Linked DNA regions of Diceros bicornis minor. The protein of the gene in region 1 interacts with the protein of each later gene in a biochemical or structural test. Links are inferred from orthologs where the notes say so. Each region holds a gene or a part of one and is shown in the gene's direction. Other genes may lie near its edges.

Region 1 (12,016 bases):
ATTTTTTTGCTGAGGAAGATTTGCCCTGAGCTAACATCAGCTGCCAATCTTCCCCTTTTTGTATGTGAGCTGCCACCACAGCATGGCCAGACAGATGAGTGGTGAAGGTCTGCGCTCGGGAACCGAACCTGGGCTGCCAGAGCAGAGCACACCGAACTTAACCACTAGGCCACCGGGGCTGGCCTTGGCCTCGTTTTTATACTTGTGGAGATGGAGACCAAGCACACAATGGTTTGTTAGAAGCCAAGGTGGCATTCTTAAGAGTTATTCCCCCACTGTCTCTTGGTTGTAGGGACCCAATCATACATATTAGCAGGCATGGTATACAAAAGGATTTTCCATTTCACAGGCTGCAGGGAAGGTGTTTAAGCATTTCTTGCTGTGGATGAGCACTTGATTTAGCTCGAGTATTGTGTTCTGTGGGCAGTGGTGTGTAAATCATGTAGAGTGTTGTAATGAACAACCTAGTAGATTGTCTGCTAGTACGCACGTGGGGGTGTTTCTTTAGGGTTAATTCCTAGGAGTGGGATTGCTAGCTCATATTGTGCCCATTTTCTTTCACTTTTAGTTTCCCTTTGGAGTGGCTGTATTTCCATCAGCAGTGTTGGAAGATGCTTGTTTCCTTTCACCTTGCCAATGTAGTGATAGACTTTAGTTTTAGCCCCTCTAATGGGTGAAAGATAGTATCTCATTTTATTTTGCATTTCCCTATTTACTAATGACATTGCTCACTTTTTCATTTGTTTTGGCTGTTTGGCTAATTGTGTAAATTGCATATTAAGGCCCTCTTCTCTTTTTTTCCTACGGTGTTTTTTTCTTTCATATTTCAAGTTATTTTATGATGTAGATCAACACTGTCCAATAAACTGTCTCTGGTGATGGAAAAGTTCTGTATCTGTGCTGTACAATAAGATATTACTAGCCACAGGTGGCTGTTGAGCAATTGAAGTATGACTGGTGTGACAAAGGAACTGAATATTTTATTTAATATAAATAGCCACATGTGGCTAGTGGCTTTCTTATTGGACAGCACAGATCTAAAGGCTTAGCTTTGTGTCAGTCCTTTGTCTTTAGGAAGTTACAGAACTTAATACTCAACATACATTTGTTGAGTGCCTACTATATGCTGTGCACCAACAACAGATGAAAGATGATCTCAGACCTCAAGAACTTCACAGCCTAGTTGGGGAAAAAAGTAGATCAACATTAGAGATGAGCACAGAGAAGGGGCACCTAACCAGTAGGGTTAGGAAATAAGGTTAAAGGTAGGAGATGGTCCTTGAACTAATAACTCTTAGAACTGAGTAGTAATTAGCAACATGGAAGGGAGAAGAAAAGAGGCATTCCAGGAGCATTCTCAGTGCAAAGGCCTGAAGCAAGAGAGAACATAGCCTGTCCAAGGGACTGCCAGTAGTTCCATGTGGTTGAAACAGCATATATTGGAAGTAGGGGAAAATGAGGCTGAAAGGGCAGGCAGGGCTTGCCACAGTGCTGAGAGCATCCGCGTCTCCTTCAGGAAAGCTTGCCCCTTGAGGGTGACAACTTCCCTAGTTGATAGTAACTAAGAACCAGGTGAGGTTTATAAAAAAGGTGAGAGAGTTTTCCACAGAGGAAAGCTAAGCAGTTTAGAAAAGTATGGAAAAGAGAAGTAGATTTGGATACAGACCTCTTAAGCCAACCTGTAGTGAGAAATAAGACCAGCTTGGAGTGGGCCTTGAAGTCTATGGTTAAGAATTTTTGTTGAGTGGAAAACATAATTGTGAACCATTCAGATTCAAAGGAATGGCACAGTAAAAATGCCCATTTGTGTAAGTAAGGGGCAGAAGAGACTGGAAGTTAGGGGAACAAAAAACAGGCTGTTGTGTAGGTTTTTGACTTGGGGTCTATATGTATTAGTTTGCTAGGGCTGCCCTAACAGTATCATAGACTGGGTGGCTTAAACGACAGAAATTTATTTTCTCCAATTCTGGAGGCTAGAGGTCTGAGATCAAGCTATCGGCAGCGTTGGTTTCTTCTAAGGCCTCTCTCCTTGGCTTGTAGATGGTGGTCTTCTGGTGTCTTCACGTGTGTCTTATAAGAACAATAGTCATATTGGATTAGGGCTCACCCTAATGACCTCATTAAACTTAATTACCTCTTTAAAGACCCTATCTCCATGGGGCCGGCCCCCTGGCTTAGCAGTTAAGTGCGCGTGCTCCGCTACTGGCGGCCCGGATTCAGATCCCAGGCGCGCACCGACGCACTGCTTGTCCGGCCATGCTGAGGCAGCGTCCCACATACAGCAACTAGAAAGATGTGCATCTATGACATACAACCGTCTACTGGGGCTTTGGGGAGTAAAAGGGAAAAAAAGGAGGAGGATTGGCAATAGATGTTAGCTCAGGGCCGGTCTGCCTCAGCAAAAAGAGGAGGATTGGCATGGATGTTAGCTTAGAGCTGATCTTCCTCAAAAAAAACAAGACCCTGTCTCCAAATATAATCACATTCTGAAGTACTGGGGATTAGGACTTCAACCTATAAATTTTGAGGGGACACGATTCAGCCCATGACAGAGTCCATAGAAGGGCTTCAGGGGCTTTGTGAGCCCCCAAGTGTGAATGCTGAATTTTGCACAGGTGTGCATTTGTCTAAGGTGTGTCCACAACATGCAACTGACTCCTAAAGGGGTCCGTGATCCCCACACCCCACAACTGGCTGTTGCATTAACTGACTTGGGAGGCAGTTAAAGCTGTGGGACAAAGGCCTAGAAATACCATCTGCATCGATAGACATGATTTGGTGTTCAATGGTATATGAAAAATGAGAGTTGAAGCTGACTATTAGGACTGTAAGTCTTAATTCTGAGGCACTGGAAATTCTGTTAGAACTGGTATTGGGGGAAAGGGGATTTTTATTTTTGGACCTTACTTGAATTTCGTGGCAAATTATGTAATGTCCATGATTGTCAATAAAAAACACTGGTGATTTTCCATAACTAAGTGGATTCAATGAAACTAACCTTCTGCTTATTATGTCCTTGCTAATATTTTCCTAAAAAGAAAGTCACAGAGCTACAAAACTGTCACCAGCTGCTTCTCATTAGGAATGTGGTTAGCAGATGTGGGTTTTCATAGTCATAACGTATGAGATAGTTAATCCATTTTTGTGGTTTTCAGATGGATGATGATTTATCTTGGCAGGATGAATTTTTAAATGTGCTTACATCAGCTAAAGGATATATGCACCTTTCCCTCTTTCACTTCATGTTTGTGCGGGAGAGAAAAATACCTTTTAGGTTATTTCTCCCGGAAGGCAAAGGAGTACTGTCTGTTGAAAGGGACAATTGATCTCACTGTCTTCTAACTGAGGAAGAGTTGTGTGTGGATAATTTTGCAAAGTTAGGTGTTGGATTGGTTATCTTACAAGCTTCTTTCTCCCTTTGGCCTCTTCTTTAGTAGTAATTGAGCAGTTCTTGCTTTTGTTCCTCTGGCGTCAGGCCGCCTCTGTGGTAGTGACCTTCAGGCTTGCTAAGGGCTGCAATTTTGCCTGGGGCCCTCCTTCCTTATGAAATTGTGTACACAACACTCAAACCTTGGAACCAGCCCCAGATCCACTAATTCTTTGCTTTGACGGACTCTTGGCAATATGTTCTCCCTTTCAGCTGAAGTGTAGCTTTATACAAGATCTGTTTGTCACCGAAATTAATTTGGCCATTTGCCATTTAAGCCTGGAATCATATGATACTATGGCAGACTCATTCCTAGATAAAGTCTAGACTCTCAGCTGCAGAGTTTCTACCAAAGGTTTTATTGTTGCTGCTGCTGAAGGTCAACAGGTAATATACCAGCAGCAGGTACTTTTTATGGACCTCTTACCCTGTACAGGTACAGTGCTGCTAAACGCTTTGCATATGTCATCCCAGTCAACCCTCGCAACTGCCCTTAGAGGTAGAAGGTAGCTGAATTTTTCTGAAGAAGAAACAGGCCTGTGACCTCAACCTTTTGACCGTTATCGTATATACCTAGTAAGTGGCCAAACTACAATTTGAACCTTGTGCTCTTAATTACTGTGCTATATTGTACATCCACTGTGAGGGAGAAGAAAAAGAAAAGACCACTGGTTTTTGAGAGAGCATAGAATCAGAGCCTGAGTCATAGAATTGTAGGAAATTATGGAACTGAGAGAGCTAATCCAACCCCCTCATTTTAAAGTAGCAGTGATCCCTGCCTTGTTCTGAGAAATCGTAAGATAACAGCTTGAGCACAGGAGAATACGTATTGATAGGTGACAGGAATGAAGGGTTATGAGGAATTATCTCAGCCATTTCCTTTTTTAAAGGTAGATAAAATAACATGCCTGTTCAAAGAATTATCTAAGCTTGTCTTGCTGTCCCTAAGAAACCGTGGACACAGATGTGTACTCTTTTTATTTCAGATTTCATTATCCACAGTAAGTAGATTTCCACTGACTACTTGAGATTTCCTAGATGGTAATTTTCACTCTGCAAGGAACCAGTAACCTTCAGAAGGATTATTTGAAACGACTACAGCACAGGAGGCACTGAATTTCAATCAATCACATGTTTAATGAGTTCCTTTTCTGCAAGGCAGTATTTTTGGAATAGTGGGGAATAAAAAGAAGTCGATGGGTGGTCCCTGCCTTCCTGTATTTTATAATCTACTGGGGCAAAACAGCCAAGCGTAGAAGAAAATTGTTCAAAGGAAAAATTGGGTCGTTGGGGAAAACTGGGCTGAGATCTTGCTAGGTGGGAAAGTGGTAGAAAGCGGCAGGAGGTGTTTGGAAGGAAGGACTCAGGAATGTGCAAGGCGTCATTGAGAGACACTGACTGGATGAGTTTGGCCGATCAGAAAGTAGTGATGAAAGAGAATGTTGAAAATTAATTTAGGTTCTGATGGAGGACCTTGTAAAAGCAGCTCAATAATTTGGGAATGTTTTATGGATATATTTAAAAATAATTTTTTACGTAGAAACCCGCAAGTAATCCAAATATCAATCTCCATTACTTTCTCTCCTCCCAGGTTTAAATATTATGTTATATAACTTACTATCTTATATATAAGCACCCTCACTTACCATTTAGTTGGAAGATCTATGACTTCCTCCAACTCTCTTGACCAAAAGGTCTTCATACTCTTGGAAGGAGTTTCCAGCTTCCCTTTTGCTAATAAAGGTGTCCTCAAGTGCCCAACCCTTTGTGAATATGTATATAAAAGTGTTGAAAATAGTGCTCATACTCTAAGGGATCAGCTGCCAAGTGCTCTCTAATAAGCAGAAATTTCACATAACTCAGGCCTCTGGGGGCTCATGCCTCAGCTGGAGAAAAGCCAGAAGTGTCTGTGACTGCAGGTGCGCTGGGGCACATTGGGACCTGCCAAAACAGCTAGCTGGCCTCACTGCAATTGATTTAGGAGAGGGCTAGAGGGTTGAGCTGCTGACATTTGCAGCTCGGAAAATCCTGCTCCATTAATTGCAAAGAAGATTCTGCTGTAATGATTTTTTTGGTAAGATACTTTTCTTATTTTGAATTCTTCCTTCATTTGGGCTCTGGTTGCTTTCCAGTCTCTATTTTTATGGTTTTAACTCCTGGTATAGGAGGCTGTTTGGAAGTTTCTGCCCATACATGCATGTGCATTCATAGAGTGGTGCGTGGACATGGCTTACGAGCTTCAACATGTACTTCATGAGCAAGCAGGTATGCAGCCCCTTTTACAGAAATTGGTGCACATTCCTTCTGCTTGCACCAAATGAAAACGTGAGGATTTCGATTTTATTGCTGAAGGAAAGTTAGACGGCACCTTGAACTCATGTTTTTGCTAAGATCTCTCTCAGCAGTGTGATTTCTGGACCCTCATTTTTGAGGTCTGAGGAATGTAGTCAAGAAAAGCAGTGGACCAGGAGGTGGGAGACCAGACAGTTGTCTCTGCTGCCTCACTGTGGGCTTGGAGCTCGAGTCTTGGGCTCTCCAGGCCTCAGTTTCCTCTGCTCTTCCAGCCCAGGAAGCTGGAAGAAGTGGGTGGATTGCATCACCCATGTCTTAGGATAAAAGCCACTGCAGGCTCTGCAGTGTGCATACAGTTTCTGGGGATGCTCATCTACACTTACCCCAACAAAGGGCCGTGGCCTCCAGAGTAAGAAAGTCAGATCTACAAATTCAAGTCCAAACACTCCAACATTTGATTATATGAGGCTTTTCACACTCATATCCTGCCATCTCCAGGGACCCGATGCTCTGTTCACGTTGGAATTCTGGCATCTTCCTAAGTAATCATCATTCTGCAAATATCTTTGCGGCCAACCTATTGTGGCTGCAGGGCTGAAGAAGACATGGTGCCCTCACACATTGCAGGTAGGAAAACAGGTGATTACAAAGCAGAGTGACAAATGCTTTGATTCATGCCTCTGGACCTTTGCTTATGCAGTTCCCTCTGCTCCACCTATTCACCTTCCATTGTCACCTCTGTGCAGCTGACCTCGGGCCCAACCAAATGTTTCTTCTACTCTGCTCTCAGAGCGTTGTCTAGATGTCACTTAACCACATAGTATCACACTAGGTTGATTGGTTCTCCGTTTTCCTCCCCCACTAGACCGCCAGCTCTCAGCTGTGGTACGTTTTATTCAGCTCATCTCCAGGCCTCAAAAGGAGCACACGGCGAAGCACTCAATAAAGACGGAATGAACCAATCAATGCAAGAGTGAACGTGCAACCCAGTCTTGCAGGCTTGCAAAGTGCTTCTTGAAGCTGATGTTGCCTTCCGTGCCCAGGCAGCTCCGGTGAATTGCACGGTAGAGGTCAGGAGTTTGCGGGGGCGGGGGGGTGGTTGTTGGAGGCGAAAGGAAGGAGAACGCGAGACTAAGCATCACTGCGCTCGGGCTGCCCACGTCCGGTGAGCCGCAAGGGACTGGACTGCGGGCAGCTACTTAAGCTCCCGGAAGCGGCTCGGCCGGCCTCGCCCCTCCCCTCCGGAGGTGGGCGTGGCTCATGAATAATGAATCACCGCCGGGGGGAGGGGGCCGGCCCGCCCCCTCGAGCGGGAAGAGGGAAGCGCCTAGGCTGCCTGACTGGAATGAGGGTAGCTACGACGACTGCGGCGGCGGGAGCGGGGCCGGCCATGGCGGTGTGGACGCGGGCCACGAAAGCGGGGCTGGTGGAGCTGCTCCTGAGGGAGCGCTGGGTCCGGGTGGTGGCCGAGCTGAGCGGGGAGAGCCTAAGCCTGACGGGCGACGCCGCGGCGGCTGAGCCCGAGCCCACTTTGGGGCCGGCGGCGGCCGCCTTCAACGGCCTCCCGAACGGCGGCGGCGCCGGAGACTCGCTGCCCGGGAGCCCGAGCCGCGGCCTGGGTCCCCCGAGCCCGCCCGCGCCGCCCCGAGGCCCGGCGGGCGAGGCAGGCGCGTCCCCTCCTGTGCGCCGGGTGCGGGTGGTGAAGCAGGAGGCGGGCGGCCTGGGCATCAGCATCAAGGGCGGCCGCGAGAACCGGATGCCGATCCTCATCTCCAAGATCTTCCCGGGGCTGGCGGCCGACCAGAGCCGAGCGCTGCGGCTGGGTGACGCCATCCTGTCGGTGAACGGCACCGACCTGCGCCAGGCCACCCACGACCAGGCCGTGCAGGCGCTGAAGCGCGCGGGCAAGGAGGTGCTGCTGGAGGGTGAGCGGGGCCGGCGGGCGGCCTGCGGGCGGGCGGCGCAGGGCTGGCCGTTGCTCACTTTGTGTCTGCCCCTTTTGGGGAGCGAGCCCGCTCCCCCTTTCCGAGTCCTCGCCTTCCCCTCTGCTGGTGGCCCGGCTCTCCCCAGACCCGATGTGCAGGGGCTTTGAGGATGGAAAAACTGATGCTCCCTGCGGGAAAAGTTGGGCAGCCGCCGAAGTGTGGCTTGCAGTCCCTAAGGAAGACTCGGTTGCGATTTAGTAAAAAGCAGGCGCGCCTGAAGCCCGCCTCTGCACGATAAGCTGACACTAAGAACTAGAGGGAGACCGAACGGCTCGAGTTCTGGAGGTCTCCGTTTGCCTCCTGAGAAATGCCGGGTCGGCATTTTCATCACTCACCTCTGGCTCCCCGGGGCGGGCAGCTCTGTTAAAAAAAAAAGAAAAATCAGCCCCACCGATGCCAGAGGTATTCTTGGGCAAACCACCAAAACGCTGGTTAATGTGTGGGAATTTAACCCATCATTGGCTCTCAACAATAACCAAAGGAGATCATAGCACTTCATTGAAGCCAGAAAGCTGAAACAGCAAGTTTGTGTGGTTAATGAGCCTTGTTTAACAGTGGAGGCTCACGTGTTTGAACATTTACTGCCAACTAGAGTTTTGCCTCTTTTGCAAGAGGCTAGTGCCAACTTCCTACCATTCACAGGCCTGCTGCTTCAAGGCTTTAAGCTTTTTAGAAGCTTGAAATGTTAAATCTCAAGATATATTTGAATATCCAGGATTGTTTACCTTAAGTATATATGTGATCTATAACCTGGATCTTTTATGATGAATTTATGGAACTAAGACAAAATTAAATCTCATCTCGTTGAAGGACTTATGCATGTTGGAGGTGATAAAGTATTGTAAGTGTGATCTGAAAAGCCAGTTGCTTGCTTCAGAAATTTTTGAGCCATCGGCTTTCTTTTGCTGTTGATTCAGTCGCTCAAGAAGCATTTATTGCTGGCTGTATAGAAGAGAATATAAAAGGTGATGTGTCTCTAGTTGGAGAAATGATAGAAAAATGCAAAATGTCTTACAAGTTATTGATTATATAGTGTAAACTGTATATAAATGCCAAGGGAATGCAAAGTTAGGATGTAGTTAGTGGAAATCAGGATTAGTCAGGGAGGACTTTTTCAAGGAGCTGAATCTTGAGCCAGGTCTCCAAGGAAGTGATGGACATAGACAGACAGAGATGAGTCAGGAGAGTATTCCTAGCAGAGGAAGAACAGAAGGGAAGGGGTGGGGAGTAGGGGTAGGAAGGAACCAGTTATCAAACTGAGAGGCCAGAAGTCCAGCTTGGCAAAGTGATTTTCACTTTTTTCCAAATCTGCTTGTAAATATTTGGAAAAATATTAGTTTGCAAGTAAGTGATTTAATGTGCTCCAATTGTGAAATTCCAGTGTCCCACCTTTATAGTATTCTATTTATAAATCTTATTTATATCTCACTTATAGGTTGGGCTAGACACTGCTCAGAAATTAGTGTTAATAAAAGTAAAATTATAGATTGTGGCTTGGGTGGTGCATGTGTAAAAAAATTGTTACCGTAAACGTGTACCTTGAGGGGCGGGCCCCGTGGCTTAGGGGTTAAGTGCACGCGCTCCGGTTAAGTGCACGCGCTCCAGTTAAGTGCACGCGCTCCGCTGCTGGCGGCCAGGGGTTTGGATCCCGGGCACGCACTGACGCACTGCTTCTCCCGCCGTGCTGAGGCCGCGCCGCACATACAGCAACTAGAAGGATGTACAACTATGACATACAACTATCTACTGGGGCTTTGGGGCAAAAAAAAAAAAAGGAGGAGGATTGGCAATAGATGTTAGCTCAGGGCTGGTCTTCCTTAGCAAAAAGAGGAGGATTAGCATGGATGTTAGCTCAGGGCTGATCTTCCTCACACACACACACACAAAAAAACAAAAACATGTACCTTGAAATTGGTCTAGCTAAGCATTTGGTTATAAATTCCTAGAGTCGGAATATTGAATGTAGTACTATTTGTGTAGTACTCAGTGGTGATGGTCAGACATTTCAACTCTTTACACCATATTTTTTTTAAAACCAGTTTTTGTTTAGATATAATTTGAACATGGTATTCATACCAAGTAAATGAAAATCATCTATCAAATGCTTCCCAGTATTCATTAGTCTAAAATAGGCCACATGTGCCTTTAGAAGGAGTTTACAAATGGCAGCATAATAACATATTTATTGAATGCCTTTTTACCTAACACAGCTTCTACTTTATTTTCCCATTTTGTAAGAGACAAGCAGTTTTTGTCCTTACATGTGTGGCGAAGTATGAAATTGCACTTTTAAGCCAAGGGATATAAAAATAAAATTACTTAAAATATGCAGAATCATTGAAAACAGTGATTTCATAGAACCAGTCAAACATTATTTAAAATCGAGAGCTGGTATCTCATCCAGGTAGATCACTTTTACAAAGACAGATTTTATGCTTAGCCCTTAAAGTTTTGGAACTCTATTGTCTTTCCATTGGATGTCTCAAAAGTTGAAAAACTGCCTTAACATAGCACACCGATGCTCTTTCGTGGTGTGGGCAGGGAATTTCAGGCATGCCCTTGCCACCCCCAAGCAAAGGAAAGCTGTAGTCTCTGGTTGCCTGTGTTTAGGGAATTGAGCTAAAGGGTTCCTTTTTATCTTGTGGATTTGTGGAGATTATTCATTCATACATCAGACATTTATTCAACTCTACCATGTGCCAGAGGCCTTTGAAGATTCCTCATTCCTGCCTTCAGGAAGTTTGGAGTTGATGTAAGAGAGAGATAAGAAATAAGTACAGCAAAGGGCTAAAAGCACTGTTGTTATAGAACTCTGGAGAGGGCTCAGCACAAAGGAAGGAGAGATCTGTAAAGACTGTAGTGGAGTTCAGAGGTTGAGGATGCCCAGGAACAGGTTGATGGAGAAGTTGAAGCTTGAATTGAGCCTTCCCCTGAGAAAGCTGTCGCCATTTAAGAGACACAAGTGAGAGACATTAAGAAGTTATTCTGCCTAGTGAGGGTAGACAAATGAGGGCTTTGTGGTTAGACAGACGTGAGTTTGTTTCTGGCTGGTGGTTTGTAACCCCTAGGCAAGTTACTCAACCTTGCTAAGCCTTAGTTTCCTCATCTGTAAAACCAGGATGATAATGATTCCTCCCTCAAAGGGTTGTTATTCATTTGATAATTTATGTGCTGGGCGCTTTTTTAGGACTGAGAATACAGCAGTAAACAACACCAACAACAACAAAAAACAAAGTCTGAATGAGGAAGGTAGGACTGCGTTATGAAGGTATGCCAAGAGTTAACAAAGACACTGTCAGAAGAGCTAGGATAACAAGCTGTTAAAATCCAAGGCTCCATTTTACTTGAAAAGAAATACGTGATAAGAATAAGAATTATTTTAGGTGAACAGGTTAAGAATGAGTTTGCATTTCTTGCATGCAAACAGCTTTTTCCAATCATGTTTTCCTATTTTTCTATCATTTCTCGTATAGGCCAACTTTTTTATCCTTAAATTTTGAAGTTTAGTTTCCCATTCCTCTGATTTTTCCTCTTCCTTCACACATACTACTCAGAACCTTAAAACTTGCCATTAACTGTGTACTTGTAGTTTTGGCTAGTGACTGTCATTGTTCCAGAGGTTAGGGAAGACAGTATAAAGTGCCCAGCTTCAGGTTTGATGTTTGAGAAAAGATCAGTATTTTTGAAGCAATTCTCATTGGAATGTTGTTGGAAAATGATCTTTTACTGCCTCAATATGATTCTAAAAGTATTGTTATCAAATCTACTGAAAAGAAAATGGTTAAGTCTATAGAAGAAGTAGACCGGCATGAAATTTAACTTCAGAATTGAAAATAATTTATGTATCTAGAATGGTTTGAGATTTTGAGTGTCATATACAGTATGGCTCTTTCTGTATGTTAGGGGACATGTAACAAATACTGCTGACTTTATTAGGCTGCTAAGTTAAAGAAACTAGTTTGGATTCCTGCGCTGTCACTTTTCTTGGTTGTATGTTGGCCAAGTTGAGAGCCTCCTAGGGAAAAACGTTTTACATTTTCTTTGGACTTTGCATGCATATTCATTAATCTGTCTCATAAAGAACAATGAAATTGTCAGGACGTTTGTCTCTGTGTTTGTTTCTTTTTGTTTAACTAGCCTCTTTATGTTTCACTTGAATGATGAGACATGTTTATATGAGAAACTGTGTCTTTGTAACCAGATTATTTCTTGCAGAGTCCCTTTCATGCTAAAATACGCCCTCCAAATTATTATCAAAATATGAAAAGTTTACTGATTCTAATACAGAGTGGTTATGAAAATTCTAATAACA
Region 2 (11,905 bases), on another chromosome or scaffold:
AAGGTAAAGTAGTTATAGGACCAGGTTCTGCCTCACCCCAATGTAGTAAGCCAGCAGATAAGCGACAATGTGTGTGAGCTACAAAAGTGCCTTCCCTGACCTTCCAATGGTAAAATTCAAAAATGGCTGTTGCTTCACTTCTGCCTGTCAAATCTCATGCAGAAATCTTTCTTGTGGCCTACTCTAACCGGAAACATCCAGGGAAAGTAATCCTAAGAAACATAGCTCAGGGCCGGCCCCGTGGCTTAGCGGTTACGTGCACGCGCTCCGCTGCTGGCGGCCCGGGTTCAGATCCCGGGCGCGCACCGATGCACCACTTCTCCGGCCATGCTGAGGTCGCGTCCCACATACAGCAACTAGAAGGCTGTGCAACTATGACATACAACTATCTATGGGGCTTTGGGGGGAAAAAATAAATAAATAAAAATTAAAAAAAAAAAAAAGAAACATAGTTCAGCCTAGCTGAGTTAACACATTTCAAAGCCACTAAACCTACTGAAGCTAGATGTACCCATATGACCCAGTGTTTTCAATTCCAGGATACATACCTCTCAGAAATGAGACAAATTATTTCACCTTGGACATCTACCACAATAAAAAAAGACCATATTCTTTGTGCAAGAATGGGATTCTTTGGTATTTGAGGCAACATACAAACAACACATTTCAATGTGCTACTCAGAATGTAGCACATTCAACGTACACCTCAGGACCAGCTACCATTTACCAGTAACCCATCAAGCTTCTAGTACAGCCTGAAGCAAGAAAAGTTTCTGCAGCAGTTCCCGGTTGCAATGCAAGCAACCCTTTCACTTGATAATTATGACCCAGTGGTCTCAGCAGCACTGGAAGTGTCTCTGGCAGACCGAGATGTCATATGAATCCTTTGACAAGCCTCTGTTAGATTGTTATAGTGTAGGCCCCTAGGATTTTAGAGTAACACTGTGCCCTCTTATGCCATCAGCTATTCTCCATTTGAAAAGCAGCTCCTAGTTTTCTACCAGGCACTGGCATACCGAACACTTGGCCATGGGAAAACAAGTAATTACAAACTGGGTATTATCTGATCCGCCAAATCATAAAACTGGAGGTTCATCATGGCATTCCATTGTTAAATGGAAATGGTATATATGAGGCTGGACCTAAGAAGATCCGGATGGACCAAGTAAGTTGCATGAGCAAGTAGCTCAGACTCTTACCAGTTCATTCCCTCTCACAACCTTATTATGGCCTCATGGGGAATTCTCTATGACCAGCTAACAGACGGGGGAAAAAGGCACAGAGCTAATTTACAGATGTCTGCACAAAAAGCAGGCAACAGCCAGAGTGGAAGGCTGCTATATTACAGCCCAACTCAGAAGTGTCTGTGAATTACATTGGTGAAGAGAAATCATCTCTGTGGGAAGTTTTGTTGGTAGATCTAGTTGTCCACCTGGAATTCAAGAAGAGGAGAACCAAGATACGGATCTATATTAATATAGTGTTTATGGTTAACACTTTGGTTGGCTGACCTGGGATTTGAATAGAATAAGACATAAAGATCTATGATAAGGAAGTCTGGGATGGATCACTTGGAATAGACACAGAGTGTGAAGATAGTTGTGATTTCCTACATAAATGACCATCAGAAGGCACAGACTATGGGGAAGCTTGTCAATAATCAGGTTATGAAATGACCCATAACGTGGATGTCAATCATCCTCTTTCCCCAGCCACCCTGGTGCTTTCTTAACGGGCCCATGTACCAATGGATATGGTGGCCTGGAGTGAGGCTATACATGGGCTTAACAACATGGATTTCTCTCCCCAAGAATGATATGGTTACAGCCAGCCCTGCATACCAATTTGCCAACAGCAAAGGAGCCTCCAATATGGTGCACTTCGTGACAGACTTTTATTCTGAATTCCTTTCACCATGAAAAGGGGCAGTGATTTATATTCTGGATATGGATTTGCCTTTCCTGTCTATAACACTTCTGGCAGCATTCACTTACCATTAGTGAACTTACAGAATGCTTTATCCACCCCTAAGGGTTCTGGAACCAAGGAGTAAAGGTGAGAATGGCCCCTCTCACTATTATACTTCAAAAACTTCAAAATCTCTGAAGGAATGGTTGCTTCCCATCTCCCAAATGATGAGTTTTCAGATCCCAGTGCCCAAGGGAGGAAGGCTTTCACTGCAGTCGTAGTTACGTTAAACTGGAAGTTGAGACTACCACCTGATCACTTTGGACTCCTCCTGCCACTGAACCGATAGACAGATATGGGTGTCGCTATATTAGCCACAGTGATTGATTCCAATTACCAGGGGTAAGTTGAGTTGCTGCTATAAAATGAGGGCAAAGAAATGCTATAACTGAACCAAAGGGATGAACTTGGGTTCTTTGTATTCTCTTTTGCAATAGTACCTATTCAATAGAAAACTACAGAAACCAAATAAAGCTGGGAACATCAAAGACTCTGATCTGGCAGAAATAAAGATTTGGCTCAACCCACTGGCTCAAAAATCTCATGCAGTCAAGATGCTGACCAAGGTAAGAAGACCATGAAATGAGTGGGAGAATAAGGAAGTTGCAATTATCAACTTAGGTCTCAGGACCAGCTACAGAAGCAGGGATTGTAGCAGCTGTGTTTAAAGTAACTTGGCATGAAAGTTTCTTTTTTTCTCCCATTTCTTTTCCCTGCACTTTATAATGGGAGCACTGGCTTTGGACAATGTTTTAGGTTTCATATGAGAGCATGTCTGAATTAAGGGATGTGTGCGTCGCTTGTCATAAGGGTACAAGGTTTTCATCCAAACGAATGACAAGAGTGGAAGCTAGGATTAAGCTAGATAGTCCCCATTTTCCCATCCATATTTACGCTCCATCATTCTTCACCCTGCTCTATGTTCCCAGGTTGATGTCATTGGACTGCATCAACCAGAGGTCCTTGCTCACTGACTCCTGGTTGAATTTGGCCAACAGTAGCTATTGGCAAGAGATCAAAGGGCAAAAAAGGAGAGAGGTCAAGGTGTGTATTCCTCTGGCGCCCTCCCTGACCATCTGTGAGTTGACAAAAGTCTATATTCTTTTACCTGTCCATACCTTTATAAATAGTTCCTTCATTAAACTCTTCTTATTTACTCTGATTGAGTGTGCCCTCTGGTTCTAGCCAAGTTCAAGACATCAGATTGTACACAGCTGAAGGGAAAATTACTGACTGGAATATAGTTCAAAATAAAATATCCAGAATGAAGTATAAAGAGACAAAAAATGGAAAATACAAAAGATAAGGTAGAACCATAGAAGATACCACAAGAAACTCTAACATATATCTACTTGAAGTGCCACAAATAAAGGAGCAATAAAATGGGACAGAATCAATGTTTAAAGAAATAATACCTGAGGATGCCTCAAAACTGATGAAAGACATCAAGCCACATATTCAAGAAGCTCTTTGAATCTCAAAGAGAATAAATTAAAAGAAATCCCTCCCTAGTCACAACCTAGTAAAACTGTTGACATAGACAGGTGACCTACAAAAGAGTAACAATTATGCTGACAGACAATTTCTCCCACAACAACAAAAAAGTGGGAGAAGGGGATCAAGTGAGCAGATACCTCAAGTTTGCCCCTAGGATCCATTCTCCATCTCTCTTCACCTTGTTTTCTGTCCCAAGGGGCTGACCTGTATGGACTACTTCAATGAGCTCCCTCTTCCTCTGGATTCTGGTTAGGTTAGGACAATGGGAATACCTAGAAGGAGATCAGAGGGAGGGAATGAGGAGAGTGAGGAGAGGGTATTTATTTCGTCAGCTTCCTCCCTGTGAGGTTGTTACTGCCTGTCTGCTTCCCCCAACACACATGTGCAACAGGAATCATGTACAAGAGTATATATAGTCACACTATTCACAATAACCCAAGATTGGGGATAATCCAAAATCTGTGTTTCTTTGCTTTTTTTCACAGTTTTATAACCTAAGCATGCATCCTTAGGTTCTAAGGACAAAATAAACTACCAAAAGTTTTAAACATATTCATTGTTTTATTAGTAGAGTAAGGTTATTATTTGTAAATTATTGTATGCATATTGTAGGATTAAACACATAAGTGATTGGGGGCCGGCCTGGCAGCATAGTTGTTAAGTTCACGTGCTCTGCTTCTGGCGGCCCAGGGTTCACGCTTCTGGCGGCCCGGGATTCTCGGGTTCAGATCCCAGGCGTGAACCTACATGCCGCTCATCAAGCCACGCTGTGGTAGGGCTGCCACATAAAGTGGAGGAAGATGGGCACGGATGTTAGCCCAGGGCCACTCTACCTCAGCAAAAAAAGAGAAGGATTGGCAACAGGTGTTAGCTCAGGGCTATTATTCCTCACAAAAACAAAACAAAACATATAAGTGATCATATTAATGTCATTAGAAACCAAATTTTTGCGTGAAAGAATAGATACAAGCATAAAATCAAGAGTTCAGTAAAAATCACAGTTAAATTTTAATTGACAATATCAGTGTGTGTGTGTGTGTGTGTGTGTATCTTAATATCCTAGCTCTGTGCACTGAAAGGGCCTAGAAGCAGCATCATCTCAGTAGCCACTATCACCCCTGAAACTCAGATTGCAGTCTTTAAAATCAGTCCTTACTAAAAGATATCAAGTCTCTTTGGAAGAGCGGCTGCTTCCATGTCTAGGGCAGGGAATAAAAAAGATAAACCTGGAACATCTTGGAGTGATAGAAAGCAAGGAAGCTGTCAGTGACTAATGGGATGTTTCAAAAAGACACCAGATCCCATTTAAAGGAGTTTTCACTGATTTACTCTGCGACAATTTGAGCATCAAAAAGGATAATTACTGGGATTGATTGATACACATTGAATATATAAAAATCCATACTTCCATAGTAATGTTCAATCAAAAAATCATAAAAATACTTTTAAAAATTTATTTGCCACTGTAGGAGGTAACTATTATACCAACTCATTACTTGGCAAATTGGTAACTAAACAGAAAAAATTAAGAATGTATGTTACCTTTCCAGTTGGAATTGTATTTCTTGGATAACTAAGCCCAACTGATGACAGAAAGCTCTTCTTTACAAAGTAATATCAACTAATAAATGTTAAAGGAAAAATAAAATTAGAAAAATCACCACTTTGTAACCTCTAATGAAATAATTTAGGCAAGGATCATCAATGAATGGCAAAACTACTAGGTGAAAAGTTGACGGGAACTAGATATTCTCACAATGCCAAAATATCATCCCATAGATTACAGACTGGTCACAAGAGGAAAACATAACCTTACCTACAGCACTCTGGCTGCCTTTACCTTAAACCAGTGATCAATTTTAGTGTCACTAATAGTAGGACAGCCAGACATTATGCATTTTCGGAAATGACACAATTGGAAGCATACAGCATCAACTATAAAGAATTGTGCTTTAAAATTTTTTTTAACCTGATCCAATCAAGACTCTAGATAGAACTTCTAGTTTACAGGAAATACAGGGGATGTACAGGATACATACAGGGAAAATGCAGGAATATATATCATGATGAAACAATCAGGCAAATCCAGAGGGTGAGGAGATGTAAAGAAAAATTGACCTGGTCTCTTCAACAAGACAATGTGAAAAATGGGAGAGGAGCGGGGAGGAACCGTGTCTATGCTGATTTAAAGAGAATTAAGAAACATAACCAAATGCAATGGTGGTCTTTGATTGACTCCTATTTTGAACAAAACAGCTAAAAAAGGCAATTTGGGGAAATAATTTGAGAAATTTGAATATGAACTGAGCATTAAATGATACTAGAGAATTATTGTAAACGTTGGTAGATGTTATAATGGCATTTTGGTTACACGGGGAAATGTCTTTATTTCTTGGAGATACATATTGAAATATTAATAAGGGAAACATGTCTATCATTTACTTTTAAATATTAAAAAGAAGCAAATATGGCAAAATATCAACAACTGTCAAGTCTAGATGATGAGTGTATGAGTATTTACTCTGCACTGGTATCTTTTTTTGTATTTTGGAAAAATTTTACTGAAAAGCAAGAAAATAAATTGATCAAATTTGAACTTGAGAAAGCTCACTCACGAGCTTATGGAGTGACAAGAGTGGAAGCAAAAGACTAGTCAGATGATTACCGCAATATTCGCGATGAACGAGCACAGTGGCTTAGACAGGGAAGCGAGTATGGAGAGAAGTACACTGATGGGAGGTATATTTTGCAGACAGAAACGATAAGATTGTTGATAGGCTCTTGGTGGGAGAGGGCGACAGAAAGGAGAGTCGAGGCTAATAACAAAAGCGAGTATGTAGCAAGTGTTTCATCTATGCCTGTGCAGTCAAAGTCCTAAGTGATCCACATGAGTTTAACTCATGGAACCTTCACAACCACCTTGAGAGGGAGGTACTATTAACACCTCTCTTTTACAGATGAGGACACTTGGACGCAGTGAGGTTAAGCAACTTGCCCAAAGTAGCACCTCCAGGAGGTGGCATTGCTAGAACTGGAATCCAGGCACACACGCACAACCATTCCTGCTCTTAAGGATGACGCCGGTACCATTAATTGAGATGCGCAAGAGTACCTATTCTGGCTCCTCATCTTAGGGTTTATACTAGCCCACTCACGTCCTTTTCCCGGCCCCCACCCAGTTGAACCCTTTTCGCCAACCCTGGGACTGAGTGATAGAGGTGGTAGTCCTTGCGGAGAAGCGTATGTCGAAAGAAACGGGGCCAAGCGCGAATTCTAGTGAGGCGCTTACTATTTGGAGGAGGAGGGAAGGGGTGGGTAGGTCCCCCGCTAAGACGGTGCTTTTACGTCACGCATGACGCAAATAAGCGTAAGAGCCGGGGGTGGAGATGTCGTCACCACCCGCCCTGGGTTAGCCAAGTTGCCGCGAGAGGGGCGTATAGACCCCGCCTCGTAGGTGGGTGGGGAGTGGCAGGCTCCGCCTTGGCCCCTCTGGCAAGCTCCGGCCAGCGTCGCTGCGGCTCTGGCAGCTGAGCCGGCGCGCGGAGCCTGGAAGGATGCGGCGCCCGCGGCGGCCTGGGGGTCCCGGGGCATCCGGGGGTCTCCGGGTGCTCCTCTGCCTCCTGCTGCTGAGCAGCCGCCCGGGAGGCTGCAGCGCCATTAGTGCCCACGGTCAGGAGGAAATGGGGGGTAGGGGGATGGTGCCGGGAGCAAAACTCAGTGGCAGGTGGGGGGCAGTGTCAAGACGGTAGGAAGCTCAGGTAGAATATGTGTGGAGTGGGGTAAGGGGAGGCACTGTGAGACGAGGAAGATGAGAGGGCGTCTGAGAGGAAAGGGGCGTAGGCCTGGAGGTGGGGCTGGGAATACGAGGGCGGGACCTAAGAGAAGCGGGCTCAGGGGAAGATTGCTGGTTTGGGAGGAGGAATGGGGGTGCATATGGCCAGAGGGACTTAGAGAGGGGTTGCAAGACCAGGGGAGAAGCAAGTCGCACCGGGGCGCCAGAGAAGTGGTGACTGGAACTGAAGGATGGAGGCGGGGGGGAAGGAGGGAGAGGGAACCCTGATCTAGCAGTAGGAGACCGTGGCTCGAGCATCAGGGTCCCAGCTCCCAGAAGAGGATCAGGCCGAGGGAGGGGCCGGGTTTGTCTTTAAGCCTAGAGAGGCCAATGGCTGCTATCTGATTTCCAACCAGAGGGGGACATAAGGGGGAGGGGGCAGAAGAGGGTGAAGAGGGAAGGGTCCTCTCCCGTCCCCCTCCCCACAGTCAGGCCCTGCGCTGACTCACATCTGAGCGGACAGAGACAGTCAGCGCTGACTCATGGGTTGGGGGAGAGTGGGGGCGGGGGGCGCGTGGGGGAAGGGGCGCAGCCTCTCCGTCTGGCGCCCTTCTTCCCCACCGGGCTTGGAGGCCAAGGCAGGATACTTCCTGTGGCGCTGTGGGTTGGTAACGTGGAAGATGAAGTCTGGAACGGCGGAGGGGTCAGATCTTGTGGAGACTCCTTGCCCTGTCACCCCTCCCTCCCCCATAACTGCTTCCAGGCGAGCTCTCGGCGGCGCCAGGCTCAGCGCTTCAGCACCGCGGACAGCGCCAGCGGCAATGGGGCCGCGGATAGTAGGGACCGTGTGGGGAGCATTGCCTTAGAGACACCCACCTTTACCCTTTCCCACACGGAGGGGAGGTGTGCTAGGGTTGCCATCTCTTCTGAGTCCCAGGCCATCATAGTTAGGATGCTTTTGGAGATTTGGGAAAGAAATCCCCTTTTCCCTCAGAATTTGGCCCAAAACTCCGCCATAGTAATTCTATGAGAGTAGAAGTATATGATCCTTCACCATCACCACCCCCATGCACCTGGGAGGCTTCTTCTCTCCACCACTCGGTTAAGCAAAGTGAGGCTTTTAGAGAAAGGATCCAGAGTCGCAGATCCTTGAAATCCAAAACCAGATCCTGTGCTTCCTTTTCTTAAGAACTCTAGGCCTCTTCCCTACTCTCCTCCCAGCTTAAAGCCTTCCTTAGAATGAAAGAATGGACCCCATCTGCTTCCCTGTTTCCCAGCCTGTCCATCCATCTGACCGTTCTATGTGTGTGGCTGTCTGAGCGTCTGTTCACCTGTCCCTCTACAGGCTGTCTGTTTGACCGCAGACTCTGCTCTCACCTGGAAGTCTGCATTCAGGGTGAGTGAGGCCCAGGCACAGGATTTACAAGACCGGGGGACACAATGAGAAAGAAGTGTGGGGGAAGCCTGGAAGGGAGAAGGGGTACTGGCCTTGGGGAGATGGGGGACTGGCCTAGAGGAGCAGAGCTCCTTGAAGCCAGGAGAGGAGATGGAGAGAGTGCTGCCTATTTTCAACCCGGACTTTGGAAGGCCTCTTGTCCAAGCCCCTTGCTGACACGACTTTTGTGCTCTTAGATGGCTTGTTTGGACAGTGCCAGGTGGGAGTGGGGCAGGCCCGGCCCCTTTTGCAAGTCACCTCCCCAGTTCTTCAGCGCTTACAAGGTGTGCTTCGACAGCTCATGTCCCAAGGTGAGGTCTATGTGCATTGGAGGAGAGACATTGGGATCGGTTAGATAAGGGTGGGGAAGTGAGGAGCCACCTGACTCAAGGCTTTCTGTTCATGAAACATTCTTATCACACCCACTCTGAAGCCTCACGTTCCCAGACTTTGCTGCAGAGGAGGGCAAGAAAGGAGTAGAGGTGGAATCCTAGAGATGGGCTCTTCACACTTAGACTCTCTGTAGGAATCTAGAGGAGGCTTCTAGAAGAAGCCACTGGAAGAGGCCAGCTTTCATCTCCTTAGAATCAGCCCACTCCCTGAACTGTCCAAGTGCTCCAGAGCCATGAATCCTGGAGTCCTCAGCCAGGAGCACACCTCACTCGTCCAATTCACTCATTCAATAAGTAGTTATTGAGTACTTACCATGTGGCAAGCTTAGTTTTAGGAGCTTGGGATGTATCAGGGAATAAAATAGAGAAAGATCTCTGCCTACTGGGGCTTACATTTAGGGGGTGAGGGGAGGGAATACACTATATACATTAGAAAATATATAGTATGTTAGAAGGTGATAAGTGCCATGGAAAAACCAGATATTACAGCAGGATAAAGGGATCAGAAATGGTGAGGTAGGAAGCTGCAGTATTAAATCAAGTGGTCAAAATGATAGACCTTATTGAGACTATAAAATTTGAACGAAGATATCAAGGAGGTGGGAGTGTTTTCCAGAAGGTTATCTGGGGGCTGTGTTTCAAACTGACCAAAAAGCTAGAACAAAAGCCCTAAAGCAGGAGCACGAGTTTGAGGCACACCATGGAGAACACCTCTTCAGTGTCGCTGTAGATAAGGGATGGAGAGGAATAGTAGAAGATGCAGTTAGGTAGGTGATGGGGGAAGGGATGCAGATCATTGTAGGGCCTTGTAGGAGAATGTACGGACATTGGCTTTACTCTGAGTAAAAGAGGAAACTATCACGAGGTTTTGAGCATAGGGGTGCATGATCTCACTTCTACTTTAAAAAGATCATGCTTGCTGCTGTGTTAGGAATAGACTATAGGGAGTCAAAAGTAGAAGCAGGGAGACCATTAAAAGCTACCACAATAACTCATGTAAGAGATGAATGTGGCATGGACCAGAGTGGTTGCAGGAAGGTAGTGAGGAATGACATAATTCTACATGTATTTTTAAGGTAGTGAGCACGATGTCATGAAATATTGGATATGGCTGTGAAAGAAAGAGAGGAGTCAAGTATGACACCCAGGTTTTATTGCCTGAACGACTGAGTTGATGGAGATGTCATTAACTATGCAGAAGGACCAACTTGGGAGAGGGGGTGTTTAGTTTTGAATATACTGAGTTTAAGATATCCATTCAAGTAGTGTAGGAAGTTGAGTATATGAGATTGGATTTTGAAAGAGAGAGAGGTCTGGAGTGGAGACATAAATGTGGAATTCCTTGGCAAGTAGATGGTAATCAAACTAATGAGGTGGATGAGATAACCAAAGAATTGAATGAATATGAAGAAGAGCCCTAGAGAAGTCTAATATTAAGAGGACAAGGAGAAGGAGAGGAACCAACAACAGCCAGTGAGGTAGGAGGCAAAACAAGAGTGTTTGGCGTCCTTGAAATGAAGTGAAAGTGTGTCACGGAGGAAGGAGTGACCAACAGTGTTGAATGATGATGGTAGGTTAAGTAAGATGAGATCTGAGAATTGACCACTGGATTTAGATATGCAGAAGTCACTGGTGATCTTGGTGAAAGCAATTTCAGTAGAATAGTTGGGAATAAAATCCCGAATAGAGTGGATTAGGAGGGAATGGGAGGAAAGGAATTGTATACAGCCAGTATAGATAATATTTTCCAGGAGTCTTGCTGCAAAGAAAACAAAAACATGGGGTGATAGCTGGAGGGGAATGTGGGGTCAAGCAGTATTTTTTTAAGATGGAGGAAATTGCATCATATTTGGGAATAATTTAGTAGAGAACAGGAAGAAATGATGATGTAGGAAGTAAGGCAGAATTGTGGGGAAGATGTTCTTGAGTAGGTAATAGAAGATGAAATCTAATGCTCAAGTGGAGGAATCGGCCTTAAATAGGAACACAGATAGTTCATCTAATGTTAATAGGCAAGAAGGCAGGTATGAATGCTAGTGGATCCGAGAATATGAGTTAAGAGCAATATAGACTATTAATCCAGAAGCAAGGAAGAAGGAATGGGGGTGGAGAGTGGCAGATTATTCCTTTAGAATAGGTGACTGACTTTTCCTGAAAGCAGTCTCATGAGGGGAAAGGGTCGAACAGGAGATCTGCCTCGGGATGAGATGATGATGATGATGATGATGTTGATGTTGATGGTGATGGTGATGATGATGATAGAGGAGAATACTTAAAACAAGTACAGTGCTTTAGAGTTTTCTAAGCTCTTTCATTTCCCTGATTGTGCTTGATCTTCACGACAGCCCCATGAAATATGTATTATTCCCACTTTACTGCAAAGAAAACTAAGGTTCAGGATCAACTAAAAGAAGAAAAATAGGAATAATATTATGACGATAATAGTAATAGCAGCTGTTTAAAGTTTACTATGTGACAAGCACTATTCTAACCATTTTATATTGCATTATTTTAATTATCACAACACTCTTAGGAGGTATAAGCTCCCATTTTACAAATGAGAGAATTGAGGCTCAGACAGGTTCAGCAATTTGCTCAAAGTCACACAATTAGTAAATTACTGAGGATTCAAATCCAGTCTGACTGGAGGAAGTCTGACTCCAAAGTCTGTACCTGAGTGTGGGAAGACGACAGCTCAGATCACCGACCAGGTCTCTGGACCCCCTCCACTGCCCCTCTGCTCTGCCAAACTCAATACACTGCAGGCTCTGGAGTGCAGTTTTGATTTCCACTGGGCCCTCCGACTATCCCCAGCCAACCTCAGCCTATCCTGTCCCCTGG

Evidence for each region.
Region 2: the proteins of SNTB2 (region 1) and PTPRN form a complex in vitro, tested with the Homo sapiens proteins (2 studies listed by BioGRID and IntAct). The link is inferred for Diceros bicornis minor from reciprocal best matches to the Homo sapiens genes SNTB2 and PTPRN.

Annotation. Positions count from the first base shown.
Region 1 is NC_080771.1:20,697,701-20,709,716, forward strand, and holds the start of SNTB2 (beta-2-syntrophin), read left to right. Parts: upstream 1-7,030; 5' UTR 7,031-7,064; coding exon 7,065-7,644; intron 7,645-12,016. UniProt on the Homo sapiens protein: Adapter protein that binds to and probably organizes the subcellular localization of a variety of membrane proteins. May link various receptors to the actin cytoskeleton and the dystrophin glycoprotein complex.
Region 2 is NC_080776.1:9,600,875-9,612,779, reverse strand, and holds the start of PTPRN (receptor-type tyrosine-protein phosphatase-like N), read left to right. Parts: upstream 1-7,010; 5' UTR 7,011-7,019; coding exon 7,020-7,134; intron 7,135-8,405; exon of another isoform or gene 8,406-8,476; coding exon of another isoform or gene 8,477-8,582; coding exon 8,583-8,633; intron 8,634-8,869; coding exon 8,870-8,983; intron 8,984-11,905. UniProt on the Homo sapiens protein: Plays a role in vesicle-mediated secretory processes. Required for normal accumulation of secretory vesicles in hippocampus, pituitary and pancreatic islets.